Linked DNA regions of Diceros bicornis minor. The protein of the gene in region 1 interacts with the protein of each later gene in a biochemical or structural test. Links are inferred from orthologs where the notes say so. Each region holds a gene or a part of one and is shown in the gene's direction. Other genes may lie near its edges.

Region 1 (7,926 bases):
ATTTTCTGTAGATACTGTAGATACTTAAGCAGTTTTGCAGGAGCATATAGAATGCTAAGGGATTCCTGAAGGTGTGGTTATAGGTCAGGTGCGCTAGGCCTATGCTTCTGTTCCTTAGAAGCAGAGACTGAGACAAGGATTTGGATCCATGTGATTTATTGAGGGGCATTCTCAGGAGAAATCTGTAAGGGAGGAAGTGAAGAAGGATAGGGAAAGGGGAAGAGCTGAGTAAGGATGTGGGCTTGGGGAAAATCAAGCCTTGGCCTGATCCTATAAGGAACACACTGGGGTCATCTGTCCCTTGAAGGAGGTCTTCTGTCACTCCTATCAGTTCTCACAGTTGTGGGTCTGGGGGAGGGGGTGGTGGTGTGGTCATTGCTTCCTGGAGCATCCCATCAATCTAGAGCAGTTGTTCTCACTTGTGGGCAATTTTGTCCCCTAGGAGACATTTGGCAAAGTCTGGAGATATTTGTGGTTGTCAAAACAGCAGAGCTGGTACTGGCACTGAGAAATTACAGGGCAGAAATGCTGCTAAACATCTTACAATGCACAGGATAGCCCCCCACAACAAAGAATTATCTGGCACCAAATACCCGAGGTGGAGAAACTCTGGGCTAGCACAATTCTTTGGAGAAAGAGTCAGGGGCAAGCCATTAACAGCGCTCGCTACTAGTGCCAGATGGACTCCTGGTTCTGTAAAGGGCATGTGGTCAGGGCATCAGAACAGAACATTCTGTAGATATCTTTTAGTTATGTGATGTTAAACAATGAAGGGAACTTGAGATGCTGGTCATTAACGTTCCCATGTGACCTGCATTTCATCTATGGAATGGAACTAGCATTTTGAAATATATGTTGCTAAACCCTTAGCTACACACAGCACAAAAACATTGTCAAAAAACTTACTGGAGTCAGCTATAACCTTTTCAGATTTTCTTCAGAACTTTATTGAGCTTGTGTAAATTGGAATTGGAAAAAAACCTACCTGAAATACCCATTACTGTGTTATGTTGTTGCCAACACTGCGCTCTTGAATAACTGTGACTTGAATGGGGTGAAGAATTGGTGCAAAGATTAAAAAATAGTTGTACTTAACTATAAAGGGGTTTAAAAAACACCAGTGTCAGACTCATGGTCTGCACTGTCTATATCCTGTTGTCACAATCCCTTAAACCTCTTTTACAATCCAGTATTTATCTGTAAGTTATCCATGAATTCATCCAAGCCCTCTTAGAAACAGTTTATAACTTGGAATTGCAAAACTCAGGATATCTAGTCCCATTGTGTTGGCTACCATTATATGAAAGGATAATTTTTTTCAAACTTCAAAATGTGTTATCTAGTTTGTATCCTAACTTTTGTATTTTTATTTTAGTTTTGTGATCTATGTTTATGATGCTATTACTAGTTTCATTTTTTTCTCTCTCAAAGTGAATCATTACCTGATCTCTTAAGACTTACAATCCTAACACTGATAAATAAGAAGGAGACAATTATATTACGATATTTTTGACAAAAAAATTAGTCAAATGGAAATATTGTAATGTTACATTAGGTGGAAAAAGTGAAAATATAGAGTGTGATACCATTTTTGTTTAAAAATCTTTCTATACTTTTATGAATAGAATAAAACTCTGAAAAGATGTATATCAAAATAGTAACAGTTGTTAAGGTGTAGTTTGTACGTTCTCTGTAAGATCCCATCACTTCCCCAAAATGGTTCAGAGAATGAACTAGAGTTATAAACAGCTTATTCAGGAAGCTATTTCCAACCGAGGTTAAAACTCTGTTCTTTGAGATAACAGTCTTACTCACCTATACGCATGCCACCTTCTGGAAACAAGGAGCATTTCACCATTAAAAGACTTCTCACAATAGAACTTGGTAACAAGGCTGAAATTGGAATTGTTTATAGAAAATATTTTTTAAATTTACCGTTTAATTTTGAATCTTGTGGATCACAATCAAGTTTGTTAGACCAGAGGAGGGGCTAATTTAATCTCATCAAAGATGGTAGGTTATATACTTGTCCTCAATAAATTGGCCACGGAAAAAACTATTTTCAAAATAGTGAAAAGCTATCCAAAAGTAAGCCTTAAGGAAATGGAAAAACAAACAAACAAAAAATACAACTTAGAGTGCTCAAAAAATGATGAAAAATTTCATTCCTGTTTGTTTTCCCTCTGAAGCAGAGTTAACATGAAATTTTGAAATACTGTATTTATTTTTAAGCAATGTCTGTATCTAGAAACATGAATTCAACTGGATCTATGAATCAATATTGGTATGTCTAAGAAAGTATCCAAGGAAAATAATAAAATAATGTTGCAGATTGACATTTATAGTGTGATAATGTACCCATGCATGCACACACAAACATAAAGTAACAGTGTACCCAGAAATGTATATAGACATATAGAAAGGTCTGCAAGGGTGGCCAGAGGGATTACCTTTGGGGAAGCAGAAGAGAGGATCAAAGTTGGACAGTAGTCAAGGGAACTTTAACTATTTTTTTAAAAAGAGAATGAACTTATAACTTGTGTAATTTACCACAAATTAGAAATACAAAAATAAAGTGAACTATAGCTTACAAACAAAACAAGAAAGCCCTGTTATATAGTTACAACTATCAGTATCTTGTGATACAGCAGATGCAATATGTATTTCTTATAAATAACAGCAGCAATGAACCATATAGTCTGTTTATGTGTTGTAATCCTGTGTGTGTGTGTGTGTGTGTGCGTGTGTGTGTTGCCAAACAGAATAAAATGTCCAGGAAGTGCACAGTCTACTTTGTAAACTGTTTTCAATTAGCGTTTCCTCATGCATAGCTCAGCTTTAGCCTCGGTTAATTCTCTGGCATTAATAATTTAAAAATATTAATGCTTGTGACCTACAGGAATGAGGTCCCATGCCAGATGTAAAGACTCTTTCTAGAGCTAATTTGGAATGATCCAGCCAAAGGCCTATCTCAAGAGACCTTTTGAGAGCTTTACTAATTCCAAGTTTGCACCAATTCATTTTCAATATCGAATGCCTATTATTTGTAAGGCTCAGTATGGTCTAAAGCAAGGAGTCTTTTTTTTTTTTTTTTTTTTTTATTTTTCCCCCATAGCCCCAGTAGATAGTTGTATGTCATAGGTGCACATCCTTCTAGTTGCTGTATATGGGACGCGGCCTCACCATGGCCGGAGAAGCAGTGCGTCAGTGTGCGCCCGGGATCCGAACCCGGGCCACCAGTAGCGGAGCGCGCACTTGACCGCTAAGCCATGGGGCCGGCCCAAGCAAGGAGTCTTGATCTCAGAATGTGAACAAGTTGGGTAGGTGGTAATATTAGAATGAGTCAGCTCTGTAATATTTTAGAGCCTGGGTTCAGGAATCAGACTCACTTGGGTTTCAATTCCCATTTCACCACTCACTAGCTATGTAATCTTGTGCAAACCATGGGGATATGTAATGCCTACTGTATAGAGCTATCAGGAGGGGAAAATGAGATCATTATTAAGGATTTGGTGCAGTGTTGGCACATAGTAAGTATTCAACTAATCCCTCTGCTACCCAAGGACTGGATGAATGTGTAAAGAGTACTCTTCAAATTGTTTTACACATAACCTCTTATTTTATCTTTACCAAAACTCTCAGATTTAAGCAGAGTGGTTTTTGTTTTGAAATTTTTATTTTATTTGCTCCTGTTAATATGCTTTTCTGAGACCTAATTAATTTTCAAGACTCATTAAAAACTGGAGGTTGAAAAGGCTTTTGAGGTTATCTGGTCCACTGTCCCAGGAGATGACTTTCACCCCTTTTCCATTGACATTTAAAGCCAGGAAATAAACACTATTTCCTGGACTATTCTAGTTACTGGTGAAATAAAAGGAAATAAAATAAGAGGGAAGGAAGGCCAAGGGAATATGTAGGGGAAGAGGGAGACTAGTGGGAGAGGCATTGGGAAAGCACGAGGAGCACAGACTAAAGGGGGTAAATGCAAGGAAGAGAAGGAAAAGAGACAAAAAAGAGGACCTTGAACAAGTGCAAGGAGAAGAGGGAGAAAAGCGAAAGAGGGGCGAGTACAGAGGCACTGCAGTTTGTCACTGCAGGCATCAACAGGGTTTAAGAGTCGGACGTTCTGGGTTCTGATAATTGTAAAATGCATGAGTATAAGACATTGCTTAACCTCTCCGAGTCGTGTTCGTCGGAGTTTGTAGCGCAGATTAAATGAGATTAGTGGGATGGACGCGCTGTAAACGAGAGAACTCTACTCAAATAAGGAATTAGGAAGGAGAGAGAAAGTGGCAGAAAAAGAGAGTGAGAGTGAGAGGGATGTAGAGGAGGAGAGGAAAGGGAAAGGGAGGAGAGAGAAATCGGCAGAGAAGGACGGAGAGGGAGAAAGGGGAATTGTTGACAAGGCAGGTGAGAACTAAGGAAAACCGCAGTAACGCTGCTGTGGCTACTGCGGTGACTGCTCGAACACATCTAGCACTGACGACTTGCCAGGTACGTTGTGAGAGCTTTACATTCATAATTTCATGTTATCCTCACAACCTCTCTATGGGGCTAGGTTCTTGTATGATCTTCATTTTATAGGAGAGATATCTGAAACACAGAGAGGTTTTGGAACTTTCCAAGGTCTTACAGCTGGGAAGTGGCCGAGAAGGCATGAACCGCAGGTCTATCTGCAAAGCCAATGCCTGTTAAAATCATCTCTAAGAACCTCGAGAGACGTTTGGTGGGTCTCAGGCGGACTCTTGTCCCGGTTCTTCCAAATTACGCCCTCGGTTCAATTCCAGCGCACAAAGCCCCACTCGCCACGCCCTTTCTCCACCTCTCCACTAACAGCGTCCTGTCTCCATGGAGATCGGCGTGGGGCGGGACTTCCTCTCTCACGCACGAGCACTTCCGCCTCTATCCGGAAGCGCCGTGGCTAACAGAACAGGTACCAGCGCGTGGGGGCTTCTTGCAGAGTTTGAGTGGCGGGACTGCGGGGGCAGTGAGAGTGACCGACTTGGGCACCTGAGTCCGGTGCGGTGATGCTGACCCCTGCCTTCGACCTCAGCCAGGACTCCGACTTCCTGACTGTCGCCATCCGCGTGCCCTACGCTCGGGTCTCCGAGTTCGACGTCTACTTCGAGGGGGTGGACTTTAAGTTCTACGCCAAGCCGTACTTTCTCAGGCGAGTTCTGGGTGTCCGGCCAGGGGAAGAGCGTATTTTGGGGATTCATTCATTCATTAGATGACTGCTTATCGAGGGAGGATGAAAAGGCGAGGGAGCGCGTCTCTATTTCACGGCTGCCCTTTCCGAGATCTCCGCGGCTTCTTTCGGTGCTGAGGAAGTGCCCTCTTCCAGGCGTGCGCTCTGGATGCTGCAGAAGCTCGTTGCCTTTTGAAGCCTTCTTAAATTCCCACATTAAAGAGATTTCGGAGCCATTTAAAACCTTGGCGTTTGGGACCATGTCACCTTCCTTTTCTGTTCTTTTTTTTCCTTGCCCCGGCACAGCGTGCGCTGACCTCCCGGCTGCCCAGTCCCTTTGACTTTTCTCAGTCCACGTTGTTTATTGACCTCTTGGCTGACCGCTCCCTACTTCCTGAAATTCTCGCCTTCCTTGACCCCCCTTGACACCGAAGTAGCCTCATTCTCCTGCCTCCTCGTCGTCTGCTACTTCTCTGTTTGGTTTTGTCCCTTAATTGTGGTTGTGAGGGGCCTTCAGCGCTTGTCTGTCTGCGTTTTCTCCCTGGAAAACCGTAACAATAGTAGTAACAGCTAACGGTTACTGCTCACCTTCCATGGGGCGAACAAGCAACGCATTAAGTGCTTTATGTGCATTATTTCATTTAATCTTGACAGTGACTCTTGGAGGTAGGCGTTAGCCCCATTTTACAGAGGACACAGTTCGTCCTAAACATTGTCAGTCCGTTGCCCCCACCCCTTTCCTACGAGGGAACATCCCTTCTCCTAATCTTTCGCGTTCAAGTGTAGCTCCAGCCGGCCTTTCCTGCCCAGTACTTTCCTAATACAAACCTTCCTCTTGAGTCAAGCTGGTTCCCTCACTGGGCCTCAACCGGTTTTGCTCATATTGCCATTAGGACCTAATGTAATCCACCTACTTAATAAAATATACTGCATTTCCCTATTTCTTTAATCATTTATTTGTTTGATTTATTTATCAAGCTCATGGTATATACTAGGCTCTGTTTTTGTTATTGGGCGTGTAGTGGGGCCTCATGTGGTTTATAATTTTATTTATTTATTTATTTTTCCCCCAAAGCCCTAGCTGCACATCCTTCTAGTTGCTGTATGTGGGACACGGCCTCAGCATGGCCGGAGAAGCAGTGCGTCGGTGTGAGCCCAGGATCCGAACCCCGGGCCGCCAGCAGTGGAGTGCGTGCACCCAACCGCTAAGCCACGGGGCCGTCCCGGCCTCATGTAGTTTACATTCTAGTGGGAAGAGAAAAATAGTAAACAAATAAGTAAACATATAACTAAAACGAAATAAACATATTTCTAAAAAGAAATAAAGTGCACTGAGGGAGAGTAAAAGAGAGCCCGTTTTTATCTAAAGTGGCCAGGGAAAGCCTTTCTGAAGAGGTGATATTTAAGCCAAGACATGAAGAATGGGAAGAAGATGTTGATGGTGATAGCAAATATTTATTGAATTTTTACACCAGGTTTATGTTATTCTTTATGTGGATTATCTCGTTTGGTTTTAGCATATCCTACAAAGTATGTTCTATTATTTACTCATGTTACAGATGAGAAATCAGAGGCTCAGAGAAAAGTTCTTAAATGAGATAGGATTGTAAAATAAAATAAGTACAATAAAATAAAAATTTCAAAGTAAAAGCCACTGTGTGTAAGTTGGGGAGTTTTGATGAAGACAGAATACGAGGTTATGTATGAAACAGTTTAAAGAGTTCTCTTCACAGATTTGTCCATTCCTTGGGTAGCAGAGGCTTGGGAATTGGGCACAACTGGATCTTGGCACGCTGACAGTTCTATGACTTTGGGCAAGTAATTCAGTCTCAGTTTCGTAATCTATAAAATGGGACTAATATTTGTGATCTTAAAGAATTGATGTCAGGGTTGAGCTGGTGCCTGCATAGTCCTTATTATCATGGCTGGTAATTAACCATGCATTCAATAAATAGTAGGTATTAGTATTTATTAAGGGCCTGCTGTTCCAGTTATTTGTTGCTGCATAACCAGTCAAACTTGAAGATGTAAAACAGCAATCATTTAACTCCCTGTCCTGGTTTTTGTGTGTCAGGAATTTGGTAAGGGCTTGGCTGGGCTGTTCTGCCTTGATGTCTTTAATACAGTTGTGGTGACATGGTGGCAGGACCTGGAACCACAAGCGCCTAAGCAGCTGGGGACTAGTGGGGTGAGGGAGGAGGGCACCTCTCTTCATGTAGTTTCAGGACCTCCCTGTGTGGTCTCTTTGCAGGGTCTAGTTTTGATTCCTTTGAGGAGTTGGACCTCTAACAGGGTAGCTTGAAGGTTTCGAGAGTGAGTATTCCCAGTGAGCAAGGCAGAATCTATATCACCTTTTATGACCTAACCTCAGAAATCACAGTGTCATCTCTGCTTTATTGTATTGCTTAAAACAGTTCCAGAAGCCCATTCAGTTTTAAGGGGAGGGGACATAGACCACACTGTTGGGAGGAGTGATGTGAGATGGGCCATCTTTGAGAATGCAGTTTGCTACAGTACACGAAAGATTAATAAAATCTCGCCTCTCTCTTTGAGGAATCAAGAGTCTAACAGGGGAGGCAGATCTGTGAACAAATATGAGTTCACTATTACACGGTAAGAATCTAGCCCCATACTTAGAGAGTTTAGGAGAAGGGAGTTGATAATAACAGCTTACATCTTCTGAATGTTCACCAACTGTACCAGCCAGTAAGCTCTTTGTATTATCATCTCCTTCTCTC
Region 2 (7,669 bases), on another chromosome or scaffold:
ACTAACATCCTACTTAATGGTGAAAAACTGGACACTTTCCCCCTAAGATTGAGAACAAGGCAAGGATATCTGCTCTCACTACTCTTATTCAATGTAGTATTGGAAGTTCTAGCCAGTGCAACAGGGCGAAAAAAAAAAAAAAGAAATAAATAAAAGGCACACAGATTGGGAAGGAAGAAATAAAACTGTCTCAATTTACAGATGATATAATTGTCCTCATAGAAAATCCCAAGGAATCTACAGAAAAAAGTCCCATATAATAAGTGAGTTTTACAAGGTTGCAGGACACAAGATCACCACATAAATCTCTTCACACAATTTCAAGGCTTATTATACAGCTACAGTAATCCAGACTGAGTGATATTGGTAGAGGAATAGATATAGATAAATGGAATGGAATGGAGAACCCAGAAATAGACCCACATAAATTCACCCAACTATTTTTTGACAAAGTTACCTTTTGTACCTTTGAATTGCAAAGGTACAAAAGCAATTCAATGGAGGAAGGATAGTCTTTTCAACAAATGGTGCTGAAGCAATTGGACATCCATAGCCCAAAAAAGAAAAAGAAAAAGAAATTTAACCCAAACCTCACACCTTATACAAAAAATTAACTCAAAGTGGATCATATATTTATATGCAAAATGTAAAACTATAAAACTCTTAGAAGACAACATAGGAGAAAATATTTGAGACCTAGGACCTGGTGATGAGTTCCTAGACATGATACCAAAAGCACAATCCATAGAAGAAAAAAATTGATAAACTGGGCTTCATAAAAATTAAAACTTTTGCTCTACAAAATACCTTGTTAAGAGTATAAAAAGACAAGCTACAGACTGGGAGAAAATGTTTGCAAATCGTATATCTGCCAAAGGACTCATAACAAGAATACACAAAGAACTCTCAAAACTCAATAGCAAAAAACAAACACTAATAATCCAATTAGAAAATGGGTAAAGGATATAAAGAGACATTTCACTGAAGAGGATATACAGATAGCAAATAAACTTGTGGAAAGATGTTCAGTATCATTAGCCATTAGGGCAATGCATATTAAAACCACAATGAGATACCATTACATACCTATCAGAATGGCTAAAATTTAAAAAATCAGCAGAATCCTCACATTGATTTCCTGACCCATGGAATGACCCAATCACGGCAGAAAGGCCCAAGTGGCAACCCCTGGAGCTCCACCTTCCTACCAGAGTACAAATCAAAAGAAATATCACATACTTAGGGGACAATGTCAGAAACCAGTTCCATCATCAAAGACTTGAAGAATGCCAGGAAGGAAATTCCTGTCACATTCCCATTTAATTCACCAGTTTGGCCTTCACAGCAGTTGGTTGGGTCTTGCTGAATCTGGCAGTTTTAAACCAGGGCTACAAAATTCTTTGACACTCCTCTCATTGAGAGGTGGGGTTGATGACTCCTCCCCTTGAACCTGGGTAGGCTTGTGACTGCTTCAACCATACAATACAGCAGAAATGATGCTATGAGACTTTCAAGGCCAAGCCACAAAAGATTATGCAGGTTTATGCCTTCTCCACTCTAACATTTGCTTTTGAGCCTTGAGCCACCAAGTATGGAGTCTGACTACTTTGAGGCTGCCATGCTGTAAGGAAGTCCAAGCCACGTGGAGAGGCCGTATGTAAGCAGGTGCTCCTGTCCAGTGAAACTCAGCCTTTCAGCTGAATTCTCAGCATAATCAGAATCTGTCAGCATAATAAAATGGTTGTTTAATGACACTAAGTTTGGGAATGTTTTGTTATTCAGCTGACAGATTACGTCAAGAAATTCCAACAGGGCACAGTGAGAATGTCTTCTCTCTGCTCCATAATACCTGTGGTCTTAGCTGAGATGATTCAATGGCTGGGGGTGACCAGATGGCTGAAGGCTATAATCTTATGGAAGCTTCCTCACTCGTATGCCTGTTGCCTGTACTAGGATGCCTATTCTGGCTATTTCATATGAGTGGAATCATACAATATTTGTCCCTGTGTGTCTGGCTTATTTCATTTAGCATGATGTTTTCAAGGTTCATCCATGTTGTAGCATGTATCAGTACTTCATTCTTTTTTGTGACTGAATAATATTCCATTGTATGGCTATACCACATTTTGTTTGTCCCTTCATCTTTAGATGGACATTTGGGTTGTCTCTGCCTTTTGGCTATTGTGAATAATGCTGCTATGAATATACGTGTACAAGCATCTGTTTAAACATCTATTTTCAATTTTCTTGGGTATATACACCTAGGAGTGGAATTGCTGAGTCATATGGCAACTCTATATTTAACCTTTTGAGGAACTGCCAGACTGTTTTCCCCAGAAGCTGTACCATTGTACTTGATGGTGGAGTGCTGCTGCTCATGCCTGACTTGATAACTTGGTCAGTCAAACAATACCCAGTTCATGATGTGTAGCTCAGTTCTTAAGATCATTTGTATCACATAGTCATTCAGTTTCAGTAAAGGGCTAAAGCAAGTCAGGGGCTTTTCCTCCCAGCAAATTGTGTGTGTGTGTGTGTGTGTGTGTGTGTGTGTGTGTGTGTGTGTAGGTCTTAGCTTTATTTTTATCTCCAATTCCAGAGGCCTCAGCTGTGATTCTCTTATCTAGGTTTGGAAAAGGCTCTGTGTACCATCCTAATGGGTATGCCACCTCCAGAAAGAGGCCCACTAAGCATCGTGCTTCTTTCTTAGGAGGAGTGGGTTCAAGGTACAGCAACTTGGTCTTCTCTTCTGTCTGTCTGTCTTTGCCCTTCTCATCCAAGGACAATTGTCATTGGATTTGGGGTCCACCTGATGATCTCATGTCGAGATCCTTAACTTAATTACATCTACAAAGATCCTTTTTCCAAACAAGGTCACATTCCTAGGGTCCAGGGGTTAGGACATATGTTTTGGTGAGGAAGATTGGTTCTGAGCTAACATCTGTTGCCAATCTTCCTCTTTTTGTATGTGGGAGGCTGACACAGCAGGGCTTGATGTATGTCCCCACCCAGGATCCAAACCCACGAACCCCGGGCTGCCAAAGCAGAGCTCACAAACTTAACCACTATGCCAACAGGCCAGTTGGGGGGGCTACTCTTTACTCCACTACAGATGGGAAGCCACTGAAGGGCTTTGAGCAGAGGAGGAACATTACAGTTTAATGGCTCTTTCCAGCTGCTGTGTCGAGAAGACACTACAGTTAGAAAAAGTAGAAGCAGGGGAAACAGCAGATGGCCACTGGAAAAATCTAGGAGAGCCATAATGATGGCATGGACTACAGTGACAGCAGTGAGGGTAGTGAAAAACCATCAGATTCTGGATTTCTTTTGAAAGCAAAGCTGACAGGCTTTGCTAACAGATTGGATGAGGAGTATTGGAGAAAGATGAAGCCTATATGAGTACTATTGATGAATACCTCAAAATTATTCAGCCAAATATGTACCAATGAAGCATTATAAAATAATGGGGGAAGTAATGAACTCCAGATGGATTGGTTGATACTGGCGATTTTGGTTATCTACAAAATGTCAGTTTAGATGATTATTGCCTTGGCATACACCAAAATAAATTCTAGATAGAATAAAAAAGCTAAATAAGGAAAAACCAATCATCTATTTTAACCCCAGTAAAATAAAACTGAAAAATTTCTAATTTTTGGATGGCAAAGGAGGAACGGAAGAAAAGCAAAGTCATTGGAAAAGATAACGGCAAAAGATTCCATTTACAATCGCAATAAAGAATTAAGTAACTAGGGATTAATCAAGTCCACCGAGGCTAGGTTAGGAGCCCCCGCTTGAGAGAGAGAAGAGTGAGAAGAGCACCAAAGACAGAAGGGAAGAGGGCTTGAACCAACAGCTGCTACTTCCTGGCTGTCCAATACTGCAGCCACTAGCTAACTGTGACTATTGAGCTCTTGACATGGAGCCCCGTCGTGGAGTTCAAAGCGAGGTGCGCTGTAAGTGTAAAACACACACAGGAAAGACTTGGTACGAAAGAAAAAGAATGTAAAATATCCCATTCATAATGGTGTATAATGGTCGTGTTGAAATGTGTTGAAATGGTAATATTTCGGATCGGTGGGTTAAATAAAATTCATTATTAAAATCATTTTCATCTTTTTCTTTTAACTTTTTTTCCACGTGGCTGCTGGAAAATTGAAAAGCCCACAAGTGGCTCGCACTCTATTCCTATCGGCCAGCGCCGCTCTAGCTGGATGGGAACTGCAAGCAGCAGAGTGCTTTCAACTTCTCTGTGCCTCGACAGCTTAATTTTTCAATCGGGACTGATCCGACACCAACCTTCAACGGTCGGCGAGAGGAAGCAACGAGCTACTGCTAACAGAGCGCTCAGCCAAGCGTCTAAGTGCCCAAGACGGGCTTAAACGCAGCTAAGGTGTGCGAACTGCGGCCGGGGCCACGCCCACAGGCTACGGGCAGCAGGGGCGGCCTGCGCATGCGCTCCCAGGCTGAGCCGCTGGGGGCGGGGACGCGGCACAATGCGCACGCGCGTTCGCACAACCTCAGGGGCCCAGCCAGCCAATGAGATTGTGCGTGCGCGCTTCGGCCTCTGACCGCCCCCCCACCCCCGCAGCCTGGCCCCGCCCCCCCCCGCCCCCCCCGTGCGGTACGCACAGGGTGGCGCACAGGTGGGCGGGGCCTAGCGGCGTGGCCTGACGGCGGCGGGAGTCTGTGGTCGCTCTCTCGGCCGTGGCCCACGCGGCTGGCTCGCTCTGCGGGGCAACATGGCGGACACGGAAGGTAAGGGTCGTTCCCTCGCGGGTGGCCGGGTCAAGTGCCCCGGGCTGGAACCAGCTCCGCAGGCTGAGAGAGCCGGGAGTGGTGGGGTATGGCGTCGGGTCCCGAGTTCTCCGCTAGCTCCAGCCGCCGGGCCGACCCCCTCGCCGCTGGGCCTCTTGCCGCCCTTGCCTCTTGGCCCTGGCTCCACGGGGGAGGGCAAGAGAGCGAGAAGCCCTGGCGGTGAAGTGGCGCCGCGAGGCCGGGATCTCCCGCGGATGGCACAGCCCCCTTAGGGCCCTGGTCGTCGTCGGCCGTGCCGGCGACCTCGCGGTGGCGGGAGACCTGGTAGTATCTGTGCCGCCGCCGCCAGCCCGGACGCCGCAGTCAGCGCCAGGCGATGAGGGGAGGAAAGAATGGTGGGAACAGGCGGGAAAAAAAGGGGCGAGGGGCGCGGGCGTAGCTCTGAGTCGTAAGCAAGTTCTAGACGCCAAAAGCTCTGGGGGATAGTTGAGCACTCATTTATGGAACTTTCTGGCCCACGGCTCGAGCGCTTCTGCAGCACGTTTAAGCCCCGCCAGGGCCACGTGGTGAACCGGAATGGAAGCCGACACGTGCGACTGCTTGCAGTAGCTAACCGAGCCATGCAACCCACGCGTTTGGTCTTACACACTTTGTTTTCTCTAGTAATTCTAGACCAAACATCCATTTTCTACCTGCCCTGATTTCATTTTCTAATTTAAACTTTGTTGCCTTTATTTTCGGGGAAAACTTCCAAATCTTGTGTTTTTTTAGTATTTATTTTGCCGAAAAAGCATAAGAAGAAAAAGGAGCGGAAGTCGTTACCAGAAGAAGATGTAGCAGTGAGTAGGAATACGTTTTACTTTGCTTGGACTAAAAAATGTTCCTTAGATAACAAATTACAGAAAAGAACTGCTTTTAAAGGTTTCTAAGGAATGGGCTGGAATTGGTTGGTTGTTGTGTAGAAACTGCACAACCCCAGCCAACTTAGAGTCTGTCCGGTCAGGTGTAGTTTGCTCTCTCACCTGTAGACCCACCATCCCTCTTGCTCTTTAAATAGCAGTACCTATCTTGGTGGTACTTCACTTACCATTTTAAGATCCTAGTTCATTTCTTCTCTTTCCCATGGAGGTTCCAGGGAAGAAGCATAGACTACTTTGTTTTCTGTTTTAAAGGCATAGACTTCTGTGGTAGTAATGGAATTGTTCAAAATCAGATGGGAAGTCTAATAGGGTGTATTTTTGTCCTGTGCAAGGAAATACAGCATGCTGAAGAATTTCTTATCAAACCTGAATCCAAAGTGGCTCAATTGGACACATCTCAGTGGCCCCTGTTGCTAAAGGTATGTGGTTAAGATTATGCATCAGGTCAGTGCCTGGCTTTTACATTATGTCTAAGTGTTAAATAGTTAAGAGTGCTTAATGCCAGCATTGTTGACTTAGGAAATACTATATGATACAGTCTAAAGCAGTGTTCCTCAAGGTGTCTGGGATGAAGGACCAGGTTATTTTTTTTTCTTTTTCAATGGATCTAACACTGTTGTAGAATACAGTTAAGATGTCGCAGCAACGTCAAAGTGCTATCAAAGTTCATAAACAATTATTTCTTGGTTTCTGTACCTAACTCCACCTCACAGACCTGTACCAGTTTGTGGGCCACACTTGGAATAGGACTGCTTTAATACTTGAGAGCATGGGCTTTGAAGCCAGACCAGTTTGAGTCAGGCAGTATGTGACCTTGGGCAGTCATTTAACCTCTCTGAGGCTGTTTGCTCATATCTTCTCTTAGGAAGGCAAGCTGAGGGCTGCAGGAGGTAATCCATGAAAGGTGTTTAGCCACAGTGCCTGGCATGTAACATGTCCCCTAGAAATTATTGACTGTTGATTGGGTTTTAAATAGGGTAGTCAGTAATGAGGTGAATTAGAAGTTTCGCAAACGACTTAATGGGCACCTGCTATGAGATTAGAAGGACAAGTTAGAGTAGAAAAAGTTATTGAGACACCCCTTGACAAAGTGTTTTAATAAACCAATGGATATGAGGTAAAAGAGTGAGATTTGCTTATATAATTCAACACAGTTGAGTTTCTGCTTGGCCAGACATGTCTGCCATTTAGATAGCATCTGCTTTTCTTTTTTTTTTTTAACTTATTTATTTTTAATTTTATTTATTTATTTGTCCCCCAAAGCCCCAGTAGATGGTTGCGTGTCATAGCTGCACATCCTTCTAGTTGCTGTATGTGGGACGCGGCCTCAGCATGGCCAGAGAAGTGTTGCGTTGGTGCTCGCCCGGGATCCGAACCCGGGCCGCCAGTAGCAGAGTGCACGCACTTAACCGCTAAGCCACAGGGCCGGCCCACATCTGCTTTTCTATTGTAGGCCCTGGGGATATGCTAGTGAACAAAATAGACAATGTCTTTACTGTCGTGAAACTTAAAATCTAGGAATGGGAGAGAGTTAAAAAATAATTGCTATTTGTGTGTAAGTACCATGATGAAACTAAACTGGGTGATAGAAAAGATGGGCTTCAATTGAGGGGAGATCTTTCAGACCAGTGGTGTCCAGCCTCAAGCCTTGGAAAGGAGGAGAATGAAAAGGAGCACAGATCGGAGCATCTGAAGCAAGAACAAGTTGGTCATGTTTGAGAAACATTGTTGCCAGTCCACCTCAGTTTGGTTATCTTGTCCCTGAGAAAATCAAAGCTAGTCCATATTTTATTCATAAGGCCGCACAGTGAAGCCTAGTCTGTTCTGTAGTACCCCAAGAAGTCTCTTTCTAGAGGAGTGATCAAATTTGTCTTATTCTTACTCATAATGGGTAATTTTTCCTGAATATAAGGAGGCTTAACAGTGTCACAGCAGATAATTAAAATATAGGAGCAAAATCCAAGTTTATGAACTTGAAGGGTAACCATATCATG

Evidence for each region. The genes of interacting proteins can lie anywhere in the genome.
Region 2: the proteins of SHQ1 (region 1) and DKC1 are reported together in a solved structure, tested with the Homo sapiens proteins (2 studies listed by BioGRID, with this or other methods). The link is inferred for Diceros bicornis minor from reciprocal best matches to the Homo sapiens genes SHQ1 and DKC1.

What each region holds. Positions count from the first base shown.
Region 1 is NC_080741.1:70,968,756-70,976,681, reverse strand, and holds the start of SHQ1 (protein SHQ1 homolog), read left to right. Parts: upstream 1-4,921; 5' UTR 4,922-5,027; coding exon 5,028-5,170; intron 5,171-5,717; exon of another isoform or gene 5,718-7,801; intron 7,802-7,926. UniProt on the Homo sapiens protein: Required for the quantitative accumulation of H/ACA ribonucleoproteins (RNPs), including telomerase, probably through the stabilization of DKC1, from the time of its synthesis until its association with NOP10, NHP2, and NAF1 at the nascent H/ACA RNA.
Region 2 is NC_080781.1:139,221,015-139,228,683, reverse strand, and holds the start of DKC1 (H/ACA ribonucleoprotein complex subunit DKC1), read left to right. Parts: upstream 1-4,657; 5' UTR 4,658-4,739; coding exon 4,740-4,755; intron 4,756-5,526; coding exon 5,527-5,594; intron 5,595-6,007; coding exon 6,008-6,094; intron 6,095-7,669.